Linked DNA regions of Drosophila melanogaster. The protein of the gene in region 1 interacts with the protein of each later gene in a pairwise test. Each region holds a gene or a part of one and is shown on either strand. Other genes may lie near its edges.

What was found.
Region 2: the proteins of TwdlJ (region 1) and CG5386 interact in a two-hybrid assay, tested with the Drosophila melanogaster proteins (one large-scale study listed by BioGRID).

Annotation. Positions count from the first base shown.
Region 1 is NT_033777.3:26,626,380-26,633,779, forward strand, and holds TwdlJ (TweedleJ), read left to right. Parts: upstream 1-3,538; 5' UTR 3,539-3,576; coding exon 3,577-4,401; 3' UTR 4,402-4,446; downstream 4,447-7,400. Other genes in the region: TwdlO (TweedleO), read right to left, coding at 1-318; TwdlK (TweedleK), read right to left, coding at 1,585-2,328; TwdlN (TweedleN), read left to right, coding at 5,552-6,481.
Region 2 is NT_033777.3:22,338,527-22,344,210, reverse strand, and holds CG5386 (uncharacterized protein), read left to right. Parts: upstream 1-1,959; 5' UTR 1,960-1,996; coding exon 1,997-2,082; intron 2,083-2,173; coding exon 2,174-2,671; intron 2,672-2,740; coding exon 2,741-2,921; 3' UTR 2,922-2,975; downstream 2,976-5,684.

The DNA.
Region 1 (7,400 bases):
AGCAGCGTTCTCCAGGCCACGGTTTTCGGGTCCCTTGATGAAGACCACGCGGAGTCCCTTGTTCACGGAGCCGGCGATCTTCTGGGCGGCCAGAGGATCCTCGAACTGGCTCTCGTCAGCCTCGAAGGTGTAGTACTCCTTGTTCAGTTCGCTGGAGACCGAGTAGTCCGGGCTGCTGGCAGCACCATCGTAGGAGTCGCCAACACTGCTTCCGGAGTAACTGGGAACATTATCGGAGGCGGCTCCGGTAAATCCCGCTCCGTAGTTGTACTGGGCGCATGCGGCACCAATCAGGCAGAAAGCGATGAGGAAACGCATGGTGAAGGTTTGGTTTTGTAGGCTGGGTGTGCTTAACAGGCAAAGGCCAAGACTGAATCCTGAGACTGAGGTGAGCAGCTTATATACCCATCTGGCGTAGTTAGAACCGACTTAGAACTATAACCGACACCATTCCCGTCGGGTTGCTACATAACTCAACTAGTTTTTTATGCAAAGCGGTGCGCTTATGAAATGATTATGCAAACTATCCTAAAATTCTCGCCAATACATCCAGTCGGCGACCCCCGACTTTCTGCCCAATTGCAAAAGCCAAATTCTCGACCGGTTCATGGCGCCGCGATTTATTCTTGACCGGGGCAAAACTGCCCGGAATTCGATTGGGGAAAATGCTGCAAAACTATCAAACCCGTTTCCAAAAAAAAAGTCAGAGCCCGTCCAAAAATGTTCTGATGGTCATTAAAGTCGAACACAATGTGATGCATTCTTTGAGTTCCGCCTACGAAACGATAAAATCTTAATCTATGCGAACTCCATTGATAGTTAATGGTTTGTTGTTGCTTTCTGTTTGTCGCCTTTTTTGCTATCGAAAGTGGGTCTAGAATTTGAAGTGACTTTTTAGTTTGAGGTTCAAAGTCAAAAAGAATGTCGGAAGCTTGCTTTGAACTCTGGGCAAACCTGTTTTAAATAGTCTGGGAATTCCATACAAGTCCCGTATATAAGAGCCAGAATATTTGCGTCCAGTCAGTTTAAAATCTCATTTAAACGGAGAAGAAGAACGTACAAGCAATCAAACAATATGAAAAATGCTGTGTTTGGATAGAAGGATATCATCATCAAAAGTTCTGCTGATACTTTTCTGTAATCCATACAAAATAATCGTTTGATAGTGTTTTGTCATCTTAAGCTAAGCGAATGAAAGTGAAGGGTTTTAACGTTAAATTTTATTTTCCTTATTTTTGAAAACTATAAATTTTCTTCAGTTGGAGTTCAACTGATGTGTTCATGTGTCATTCATTCAGAGGCGTTCATAAAATAAGCATTTAAGTTTTTTTCATCCAAAACATTTTTTTTTTCAAATGAATGAAAATATGAATATATATATATTAATGAATATATATGTAGGAAAATAAAGTGTAAAATACAATAAGTTGTTTGGATTTGTTTCGGCTAAAAATCCGTCTTAAGTGTTCTGTTTACGGAATCGCCCAAAAAAATCAAATCAGATTACAACAATTATTTTTTTTTATTTATGGAATAAGACAACATGATAACTAGGCAACAAAATCAACATCCTGTAAATGGCACTTAAACACGGAAGCGACGGAAGATGTTGGCGGGCAGGTAGCTTGGTCCTGGAGCACTGGCAGCGGTGCTCTCGCGTGGAGCCGGCTGGGAGGCGAAGTTCAGGGTAGAGGCAACACCTCCATTCTGGGACTGACTGGATCCTCCCAACTGATCGTACTGACCCTGAATGGCACTCTGGGCGTTGGCAGCATCCTCGGGAGTGCGGTACTTGACGAAGTGCACCTCGGGCTTGTTGTTGTTGTTGTTGCGGATGGAGTTCAGCTTGTTGGCCAGATCACCGATATCAGCCTGCTTGTTCAGGACATAGATGGCGGTCTCCTGCTGGGCAGCCTGCTTGGCCAGAGCCAGAGCGGCATCCTCCAGACCGCTGTTCTCGGGTCCCTTGATGAAGACCACGCGGAGTCCCTTGTTCACGGCGTTGGCAACACGGTCGGAAGCAGATGGGTCGTAGAAGTCACCCTCGTCGGCGGTGTAAGTGAAGAATTCCTTCTCGAGTTGGGCCTGAGGAGCAGCGTAGTTGGGAGCAGCAGCAGATTGAGATCCTTCCAGGGCATCAGCAATGGATGAGGGACCGGGGGCAAAGGATGCACTAGGAGCAGGCGCGAAAGCGGGTGCATCGCTGCTGGCCGATCCAGATGGCTGGAAGCTCAATCCGGAGGGAGAGTGGGCCACCGGTTGGTAATTGTAGCCAAGTTTATCGGCCGTGGCCAAGGCAATAAAGCAAAGGACGACGAAGGAACGCATGTTGACTGTTTGGATGGCAAAGATGATTGGTTACTGACTTATCGAGTCGAAATTTTGGCTTTTATAGGTGCAATATTCAGTTCTTCGGCTGCAGTATGGTGCGATATGAATTATGAACAGCTCAAATTTGCCTTAAAAATGCATAAATAAGAGATTAAAATGTTAAATTTATAATATAATTTTATGATTCGTCACACTGCTGCTGCGGTTGCAAATTTTTGCATGGCTTTGTTTTTACTGGCTCTGCGGAAAGCGGCATGCAAATTATGAGCTAACCAGAATTGGCCAGTGAGGAGGTTCATAGTCCGACTCGGATTGCCAAATCAGATGGCGCCAAGTAATTTATTAAGAGACCAATTATCGAATTATCTGATTTGGCGCTGACAAGGCGCAGTGGTGCAGTTTTTAATTGGCAACCGGCCTAGGCGATCAGAAACCATGTATATATATTAAGTAAAGATGGCTGCTATATTTAGCGATGAGTTCGATTCTTCACTTCCGGCGGATGGAAGGTCGCCTCCACCCGCAACATTAGCATAAAGCAGCTAAACACAGCGACCAAGACGACAAGACAAAGCCGCTGAATAAGGCAATAATAATTTGGCGAATCGTTAAAATATTTATTTTTGGCAGCGGTAACGCGACTAGGCGCGCCTCATTTGCATGTGAAACGGCCTGTCAAACGTTTTGTTTGCTCTCCGGCCGATTTAGGTGACACTTCTCATCCCGGGCGAACTGGGAATGGGTTTGGATTTGTGATACACATGTGATACATGAGTAACAAGGCATCCATCTAAATAGCCCCAAATGAGGTTTACGATGCTCTTGATGCTCTGTCCGCGGCTTTTTATAGCCAGATTTTATTGATTTCAACGATAAAGCTACATGAAAATACCAAAATGGCAAGGTTGGCCCACAACACTGGCCAAAAGCGGCGCCGAAGAATACGCGAATTATTGATTAAGGCAGCATATTGAATTTAATATGAATTTTATGGCGCCAGCTCCGGCTCATACATGGCCCGTACCTCTTCCTTCTGAGTTTCTACGTTGACCTCATGATGCAGCCACCCGCTTCGCTTGCATATTTTAGCGGGGTGGTACCGGTACTGCCTGATCTAGTTGGCTAAGACCGTAATTAGACCGCTTTATGCAGAGCGTTTTGCATAGCAGTGGCTTTCATCTGCATAAAAGCGAAAGAACCATCTCACACCATCATCAAATCCCACAACCACCTCACCCGCTCAACATGCGTCAGTTCTCCGTAGTTCTTTGCCTGTGCCTCGCCGTTTTGGCCAGAGCCGATAAACTCGGCTACAATTACCAACCGGTGGCCCACTCTCCCTCCGGATTGAGCTTCCAGCCATCTGGATCGGCCAGTAGCGATGCACCCGCTTTCGCGCCTGCACCCAGTGAATCCTTTGGCCCCGGTCCCTCATCCATTGCTGATGCCCTGGAAGGATCTCAATCCGCTGCTGCCCCCAACTACGCTGCTCCTCAGGCCCAACTCGAAAAGGAGTTCTTCACTTACACCGCCGACGAGGGTGACTTCTACGACCCAGCTGCCTCCGACCGTGTTGCCAACGCCGTGAACAAGGGACTCCGCGTGGTCTTCATCAAGGGACCCGAGAACCGCGGTCTGGAGGATGCCGCTCTGGCTCTGGCCAAGCAGGCTGCCCAGCAGGAGACCGCCATCTATGTCCTGAACAAGCAGGCTGACATTGGAGATCTGGCCAACAAGCTGAACTCCATCCGCAACAACAACAACAACAAGCCCGAGGTGCACTTCGTCAAGTACCGCACTCCCGAGGATGCTGCCAACGCCCAGAGTGCAATTCAGGGTCAGTACGATCAGTTGGGAGGATCTTCGCAAGCTCAAGATGGTGGAGTGGCATCCACCCTGAACTTCGCTTCCCAGCCCGCTCCTGTTCAGGCTGCCAGCAGCCAAGCGCCCGCCCAGTTCCTGCCCGCCTCCCAGCCCGAGGCTACTGCACCCATCTCCTCGTATGTGCCACCTGCCACCCCAGGTAGCTCCTACTTGCCCGCCAACATCCTGCGCCGCCTGCGTTTCTAAGTTCCTGGCATTTCCTTTGTTATTGTTGAGATTATAATACGAAATAAATTTGTTTAATAATATAAATTTTTAAGTTGTTGTTACTCTTTTTGAGAGCTATTGATATAAATGGTATAATCAGCTATTTTGAGGATTAAAAATACGTAATAAGATAGTCTGGATGCTCCTGAAATTCCCGACATTCTTGTGCTATTGTTTAGATTTGAAGACCTAATAAAATTGTTTTAAAATGTAAATTATTAGGTTGGCTTGCGGATCTTCGCGGCCAACATTCCTAGGCATATTATCAGCCAGAATTAAATTTCCGAGGCACAACATTTTCGCACTCGGCGGCTGGCAAACAAGTTCGACTTGCGTTGAATTATGAGTCCGTCCGGCTAAGCTGTTTGTGAAAATTGCAAATGAGCGGAAACCTAAGATGTTTTCTCTGGCATCGCTTTGAATAATCTGCTTCGTGTTAATCTGTATAATCTGGTGTATAACATATGGCTTATCGGCTACTTGGCTGCCCATGCCTACCTACGCACTTCGCGGTTCGAAATTGAGATGGCACTCGGTTTGACAAATTGCACGAGACATCGGGCGACAGACGACAATGGTCAAATGCCGAAAATCCATTGGGGCGGGCAATTTAAAATTATTAAGCTGGGAAATTAGCCCAAAAGCGGAGGGCCAGAGTCTTACTTTCAATCATCCCCAGCTCGATTTGCATAACAAAATGGGCGAACAAAAGAATGCGGCTACTGCATAGTCAGACAATTTGGAGCTTGGAGCCGCTACCGCCCAGCCCTTTGTCGCCTGATTTACATAAAAATTTTGTTTTTCCGTAAGCTGCAAGTTCATCAAAATTTAATCAACGCCGCCGCCAACGCCACAGCTTCTGCTTTTGCTTTAGCTTCTGCCAATAGGTCTAGACCAAATCGAGCTTGGGCCAAAGCCGCCAAGTGGAAAAAGAAAAACAGAAAAACAGGTTAGGCTCGCAGACAATGCGAACCTTATCGCGATCTCCAGCACGCTGTCATTCGCCTGTTCTGATTGACGCCCCTGCCGTGTCGGCCAGGCCATATAAATGGCCCGGCGGCTCAGCTCGACATCATTCTGACTTCCGACTCCGGAGCTCCAACTAGAACAGCAATCAGTTAACAGCAAGATGCGCGCCTTCGTCGTCCTGTGCCTGGTGGCCATCGCCTCCGCCGACAAGCTCGGCTACAACTACAAGCCCGTGGGCCACTCCAGCTCCGGACTCTCCTTCGCTCCTGGCAGCGGATCCCTCAGCCTGGGAGGCGGCGGTGGATCCTTGGGCCTGGGTGGCAGCAGCGGATCCTTGGATCTGGGAGGAGCCAGTGGATCCCTCGGCCTGGGAGGCGGCAGCAACTTCGGCAGCTTGGACGGCGGCTTTGGCGGTCTTGGCGGTGGCTCCATCGATCTGGGATCCTCCGGCCTGGGTTCCTCCGGTCTTGGATCTGGATTGGGATCATCTGGTCTTGGATCTGGCCTGGGCTCCTCCGGCTTGGGATCTGGTCTGGGATCCGCTGGACTGAGCGCCCCCGTCTCCTACAATGCCCCCGCCCCTGCTGCTGAGCTCCAGAAGGAGTTCTTCACCTACACCGCTAACGAGGAGGACTTCGATGAGCCCCAAGCATTGGAACGCGTTGCCAGCTCCGTGAACAAGGGTCTGCGTGTCGTCTTCATCAAGGGACCCGAGAACCGTGGTCTGGAGAACGCCGCCCTTGCCCTCGCCAAGCAGGCTGCCCAGCAGGAGACCGCCATCTATGTCCTGAACAAGCAGGCCGATATTGGAGATCTTGCCCAGAAACTGAACGCCATCCGCAGCAACTCCAACAACAAGCCCGAGGTGCACTTCGTCAAGTACCGCACTCCCGAGGATGCTGCCAACGCCCAGCGCGCCATCCAGTCGCAGTACGACCAATTGGGAGGATCCTCTCAGGCTATCAACGGCGGAGTTGCCAACGCTCTGAACTTCGCCTCCGCTGGCCCAGTGCGTCAGGCCACCGCCCAGATCCCCGAGAACTCGTACCTGCCCTCGTCGGTGCTGCGTCGTCTGCGTTACCGCCACTAGGAAGTGCCATAGCTTTCAGCTGCCCTATTTGTTGACTTTTTGTGTTATCTATTGATTTGTCGAACGAACCGCTCCAATACAATACTTTTTTAAATTAATGATCGGGCTATTTCTGTCCTGTGTGTGGGAACTGAGCTAACCATAAAGCTGTCGGGAATTTTTGACGATTGAGCCACTCACTGCGGGGCAGAGTGAGAAATTGCAAAGCTCGGCGTTTATTACACGCCCGGAGTGGCAATAAAAATTCCAAAGCGATGGCGCCAAATGGAATACAAGTGGAAATCAATAAAAATTTACATGTTTTGGGATGCAGAGAGAAAAAAAAACAATCGACGAAAATTTTTTATCATAATTAAAATGTTAATCTGCGTGAAGTAAAAGGTTAGACAAACTATTAGCGCTCAAATTTATGGCAACTGCAAGACGGAACCAAGACGGCATACATAATGTATGAGTGATAACATGAGTGGCCGGATGAATGGCCAATAACAAAGAGCCAAAGTGGTCAGCGACAGATCTTTTCAAGAGCACCCACTATACGCTCGATTAGCATAAGCAGAAAAGTGGCTAAAGTTTGTTGTAGAAAAATCATAAAAATTATGCTCAGCACCACAATGACTAAGCTGAAAACCAAAATCGAAAGAAGCCAACTCCAAAGTTAATAGATAACAGCAGAAAAAGAAACGGTGACAAAAAAGCGAATTGGGAATTGGCCAAACTGCAGATTGGCTGATGAGGGAGCAATGGGCGAAATGCTCGGTTTGAGGTGCAAAATCAAAGACAGCCAATTAAAAAACCAAATGATGGCCATAAACAAAGAGTTGCAATCTGCAGTGATTTCGCATAAAAGTCGTGGGCGTCGTGGAGTTGGACATACTTGCCTTCGATCCAGCAATCCGAGCGGAGTTATCCACCTACA
Region 2 (5,684 bases), 4.3 Mb from region 1:
CGTGTAATTTTACTAAAAAGCGCCAACGAGCCGCACTTCACACACATGCAAACAGTTGGGTTTGACAGGATAGGAGCTGCGAAAGTGAATTTTGTTTAATATATTTTAAGTTATACAGAACGTACATACTCAGTGTCAATCAAAGATTAAAAGTCTAAATGAGTATATATTGCATAAATTGTTAAATTGGATTAGAATCTTTAAAGAAGTTCAAACTATTCGTTTGAACCCGTTTTTCTTCCCTCTGCTGTGTGGCTGCAAAGAGGTGGATTCCCGGGTGAGCGGTTGTTGCCATATTTTAAGTGTTTTCTGGTTTTTCGGCCACTGTGCACGGTGCTTTTAATTCCTATGGCGGCGCTCGCCTGTAATTTATGTGCTTAACTTTCACACTCGGCTGGCTAAAACAGTCACCGAAAAATCGTCATAAAAATAGAAAATATATATATATATGAACACTCTCGTACTCGGCCATTTCACACTTTTGCGCCTTTCGGCCGAAAAGCGGTGGAAAATGAAAGCGAAGCCACAAGGACAACGGCTAAATGCGGAGGAGGACGAATACATTCCAGTGAATATTTATGAGCAACCAAAGTAGCATTTGTGCTTTACATTCCGACTTTATTGTGGCCATCGTTGCTGAAGTCCAGCCAGTTGTTGTTGCCTCTGTGTGCAACAGTCCCGTCCATCGTTGAAATTCAGGCCGCCCTTTGTGGCTGCCATTGCTTCACTGGAATAAATATTCAAATTGTATGTAATAGTTTATACTACTACTCTATTCTATGAACTCGCATTTGATCATCTACTTAGGTTTTAATATATCAAATATTTCGATAGAAACTATCTTGTTTATTATGATGTTCAACTGATATTTTAATTAAGTTGCTTTTTACTGTGTAATGTTGGCGCTGCTCTTGTTGCTGTTGCCGTCCTCTCATCTCTGTCAGCTTTTCCGACTCTGATGAGTTTATGCTTGGAGCACATATTACTTTATTCCAGAGTGTGCCTAGGCCCCTGGCCACGCCCCCCGCCCATGTGGTTTTGGCCCACCAACACAGGCACATGCACACAGTCGGCCATTCATGACTGTCATGAGTTTTCCGCAATTGATGGTCTAATTATGCCGCCAACACTAAATTTCATGACTTTGCTGGTCGACGAAGGCCGCCGATGATGAGGGGGTAGAGGGGAGGGGGTATTTTCCGAGAAGGGGAATTGTAATTTAATGGAAAAACATTTTGCCACACATCCACGGAGAGCGGAAAATGGGAGCTGAAGCCAAGGGCCACTTTACAGTTTGACAGTCACTGCCAGACGGTTGACATTTTAGCTTGGATTTATGGCCACCTCTTTGAAATGGCTCGTATGTTAATGCAACAGTTTGAGAAGCGTAGTTTTATGGATTTGAGTTTAAGAGCCCTTTTTGTTGAAAGCACATAATCATATAACTTATGGAGGCATTTACAGCAGCTGAAAGGCAGCTTATTATAAAAAACATATTTCTTATTAAAGCTAAAATATTAAACTTTACCAATAAGAAGTAAACTATTTAGATGAATAAATGTATTCTAATCAATTTAAGAGAGGTATAACGTTACTATTTAGTTTCTATTAGCTTATTTTTACTATTTGATTAAGCCAATTAGCTAGTCATATTTTTTGTAGCCGGCTAATTGAGATCCACTCAATCGAGAACCGCTGTCGGGCCTCCAGTTGGATCTGTAAAGCCGAACTGGTAATTATCATACCGAAACCAATGGGGCACATCAAAATGTTCACACTTCATAATATTTGCATATTAATGTGCATGTATAATTAGCTTCGAAATAATTAATGCCCGAAAACAAGAAACCTAATCGAATGCCTAGGCAAAAGCAAGCATCTCCCAATTAGAATCCATGGCATCGGAGAATATTTGATGTGTGAAGTTAGTTAGCCGGAGTTAGTTCTCACCGAGAGTTTCGAGTGGAAGGTCTCTGGCACTAATAAGTCTTTAAATATGTATCCAAATTGGCTCGTTCTGCTCCACTTGCCGCTGGTTTGTTTGGGAGTTGTTTCGCAAACATTTGCACAGCCGCTGACAAAGTAGGTCGTGTGAATGTGCTGGAATGAATCTCGCCCAGTGTGTGGGTGGTGGTTAGCGGGTCAATCTATTGAGCAAACTATTTGCTTACAGGCACCACAACACCGGCATCCTGAGCATCAATCGGGCGGAGGGACAGAAGATTGAGGAAGCCGCGCTCCAGCAGCATCTGCAACAAATCACGGGCAGCGAAGCGTTGGCGCCATTGTTGCACGAGTTACTGGGCCAAACTGTGCCAAATTGGCAGCAGCCACAGCAGCAGCAGAAACATCAGCAGCCACGGCAGCAGCAGCAGCAACACTACCAACAACAGCAACCAAAATGGCAGCAACAACAGGCCACAAATCAACCGCAACAGGAACAGGGGCAACACTTTTTTGTTTATGAAAACGCCGCGGGTCAACCACCTCAAATATTGGCCGGGTTCAATGGCGTCAATGTGCAACCTGAACAACCAGGCCAGCAACTGCGTCTCCAGCCAAAGCCAATTCAGACGGCACAACAATATGGAGGAGTCGGGCCAAAAGTCGTTAAGGCGCCGCCAGCCGCAGCTGCAGCCGTTTGGGCGCCACGAGTCGAGAGCCACCCGCCGTAAGTAAACACTGAAAACTACCAACTTATATAATCCATTATTTGCATTAAACAATGCATTTTAATTAGCCCATACCCATCTGCGGCAACTGCAGCGCCAGCAAGTTGCCAACTCGGCAGGAATCCGTCGGAAGTTGCCGCTCCTGCCAGCCCCAAAGCCACGCCCCCCGCGCTATGTCCGCCTCCTTCGGGTGGCCAGGAGACGATCCCCTTGCTCAGTGCTGCGGCGCTCAAGGCGACAGCTGGTTAAGTTTTTAATTAAATCGCTGGCATAATTAATAAAGATGCGCATAGAGAGTCGGGCAAAGTGTTGCATACTTTTGGGGCGGCCGATCGCATGGGTGTATTGGTTGCCGTGCACATGTGTGTGTGTGTACTCAATATTCATTCATGTGAGAGCAGCAGCTGTGTCAGTTACTGCAAAAAAAGTGAACTGGCTTTTTTGAAAATATCTTTATTAAATTCGAGGATTTTGAATAACCTTGAATAAACAGATGTAACAGATTCTAGATTTTTCTAGAATTTTTTTTTCTAATCCGTAACCAGATTTGGCTTCCAATCTCCCAAAGCCCAGAAAGAACTCGAACAATACGTATGAGACTTATTTGTCAGCGTGCCTGCTCCGGCCTAGCAGGACCTCCGCCCACCAGGACTCGTTTCGAGCTGTCACCGAACTCAGCATAAAAGTAAAACATTCAACTAAAAACAATTTCTAAAAATATATGTGTACGAATATAAAACATGCAACACGAAAAAACCGCACAAAACACTTCACGTTGAGTGCGACTCGCAAATTGTGGGGCGTCTGTGTGAGTGAGCTGCACCACCGACACCAACAGCACCACCGCAGAAAAGAAGCAAAATAATAAATAAAAATCCGCAAAATGTATGTGTGGCGGAGCGTTGAGTCTGCGGCGGAGTGTTTTTCGCAAGTGTTTGAGCGGGAAAAATGAAAGTGCTGAAGTGTCGCCCATTGTTTGTCCTGTCAACTCAACGAAGCCGCAAGAAGTTGATGACCGGAATAGTTGGGGGATGGGCTCAAAAGCAGGTCTATAATCTAAAGGAAGATCTTTGGGACATTCCTTGGTATCGAAACAATAAGAGTGGCGGGTAAACTGAAGGGACGCTTTTGGTGTCTAACTAAAATTTTAATATACTTACTAAAATAGGACATATACTCTCAAAGAAAGTTACCCAGCAATCTATTCGCTAGAAGTCGAAAATTGTTCTCAGCATACATATCTGGTTTAAAAATGTGTATTTGTTAATATCAAAGTAAGTCTTCCAAATCTGAAGTTCGCAGTAGGTCCTGGCAGTCAAAACTGAAATTGAATTGGATGTGGTTGTGACTCCGACCCTCTGACGTCTTGCAGATGTGAGTAAACTGGCATACGGATGACTCCTTTGTTGTCATCGGCACTTTGGTACACACTTTATAGAGCTCCATTCGAAGGCTCTAATTTCATGCGCGCATAATCAGGGAGCGTGGCTAATTAAATTCTAAACATTCGCCAGCATGAGCGCACTAAAAAATGTTTTATATGACTAGAGTCTCGAGCCCCATCCAGTGTTTCCCCATCTCTTCGTGAAATCTAACCCCATCCCATACCATTCCATACCATACCCATTCCATTCCAAGCCAGCCTTCATTCCAATCTCGAGCTGGTGCTTTGTAATTGCAGATCCCGGACTTCGTACACGCCCCTATGCAAATGGCATAAAGCTGATGATGCTGTTGTTGCCGCTATTACACTGAAAGAAACTTCAAAAGTAAGATTTAAAATGCAATAGAAAGTTCTCAGTTCAAATGCGTTTTTCTATTGGATTAAGTTCTCCAGTTTCAGTTGCTTTTGCGTGGACATTTTTTTTCGGGCTTGTTGTAGTTTTGTCTCACTACATTTTTTCCAGTGCTGTTGCTGCTGCTTCGGCTCCGTGTTGTTCTCTTTGTGCCCATCTGCAACCTAATCTCATCTCGCGCTGACGGCTTTTGAACTGCCTTCGTTTGTTGTCGTTGTCGTACTCTAAATTAACCGTTTCGTTACGTCAGCGCTGTCTTTTGTGCGTTGACAGAAGCGATTGTTGTTGTTGTTGTTACTGCTGCTGCTACAGCCACTGCCAAGCGAATCCTGTAGTCCCGTAGCAGAGTCCTGTTTAGTTGCAAGTTTGTATGAGGCAGCCGTGCGTGCCCGGTCGCCTGGCAATTGGAGCAATCAGCCAGCTGAACTCAGCCCGGCTCTTCAGCTTTTTGGCCCATTTGCAGTTCCAGACAACCCATTCCAGCTTCAAATCCCACTTTCAGACCCAATCCTATACACAAGCCCAATGGCAGTGCCCCAGCACTCAGCACAGCTCGGAGACAGTTGGCTTTGTCTTGTCAGCTGGGTCCTGGCACTGTCCTGATTGGCATTCACAATTAGCGAGCGGGTAAATAGAGAGATGCTGCAAGAATGTTCCAAGTCCGGGTGTCTAATATAAAGAAAAGCTATTTTTGGGGGATCGCGAACTAGCCCTTTTATTGTAGAGGATCACAAACGCTCCTATTATATAAAGCTCATTACTAAAAGCTTACAGATGACTTTTATCTGTAGGTGCTAATAGTCATTGGTCATAGTCATTGACATTGGTCATCTCAATCCTATTATGCTTTTGAATGATGTAGTGGTCAGCGCGAATCCACCCAAACCCTAGGACACACTTGCCAAAATGGTCAACTGAAATGCCTGAAAGTATGCAGCAATATATAGTTCACGCACACAATGACAACAACTGAAGAGAGAGAGAGAGTGTGTGCGTGTTTGTGTGGCATTGGAATAATGTACTCTTAATTTGTTATGCGTGTGTGATTAATGATCCATGCATAACGATAACTTTGACTCATTACACCTGCTGATTTATCGCTGTCAACGGGCGGTCCACAATATGTGACCCAACCTCGCCCCACCTTCATAACCACCTCCCTTTTCATCCACACAAAAACACAAACGCACACACTCGCATCATCACTGGCACATGT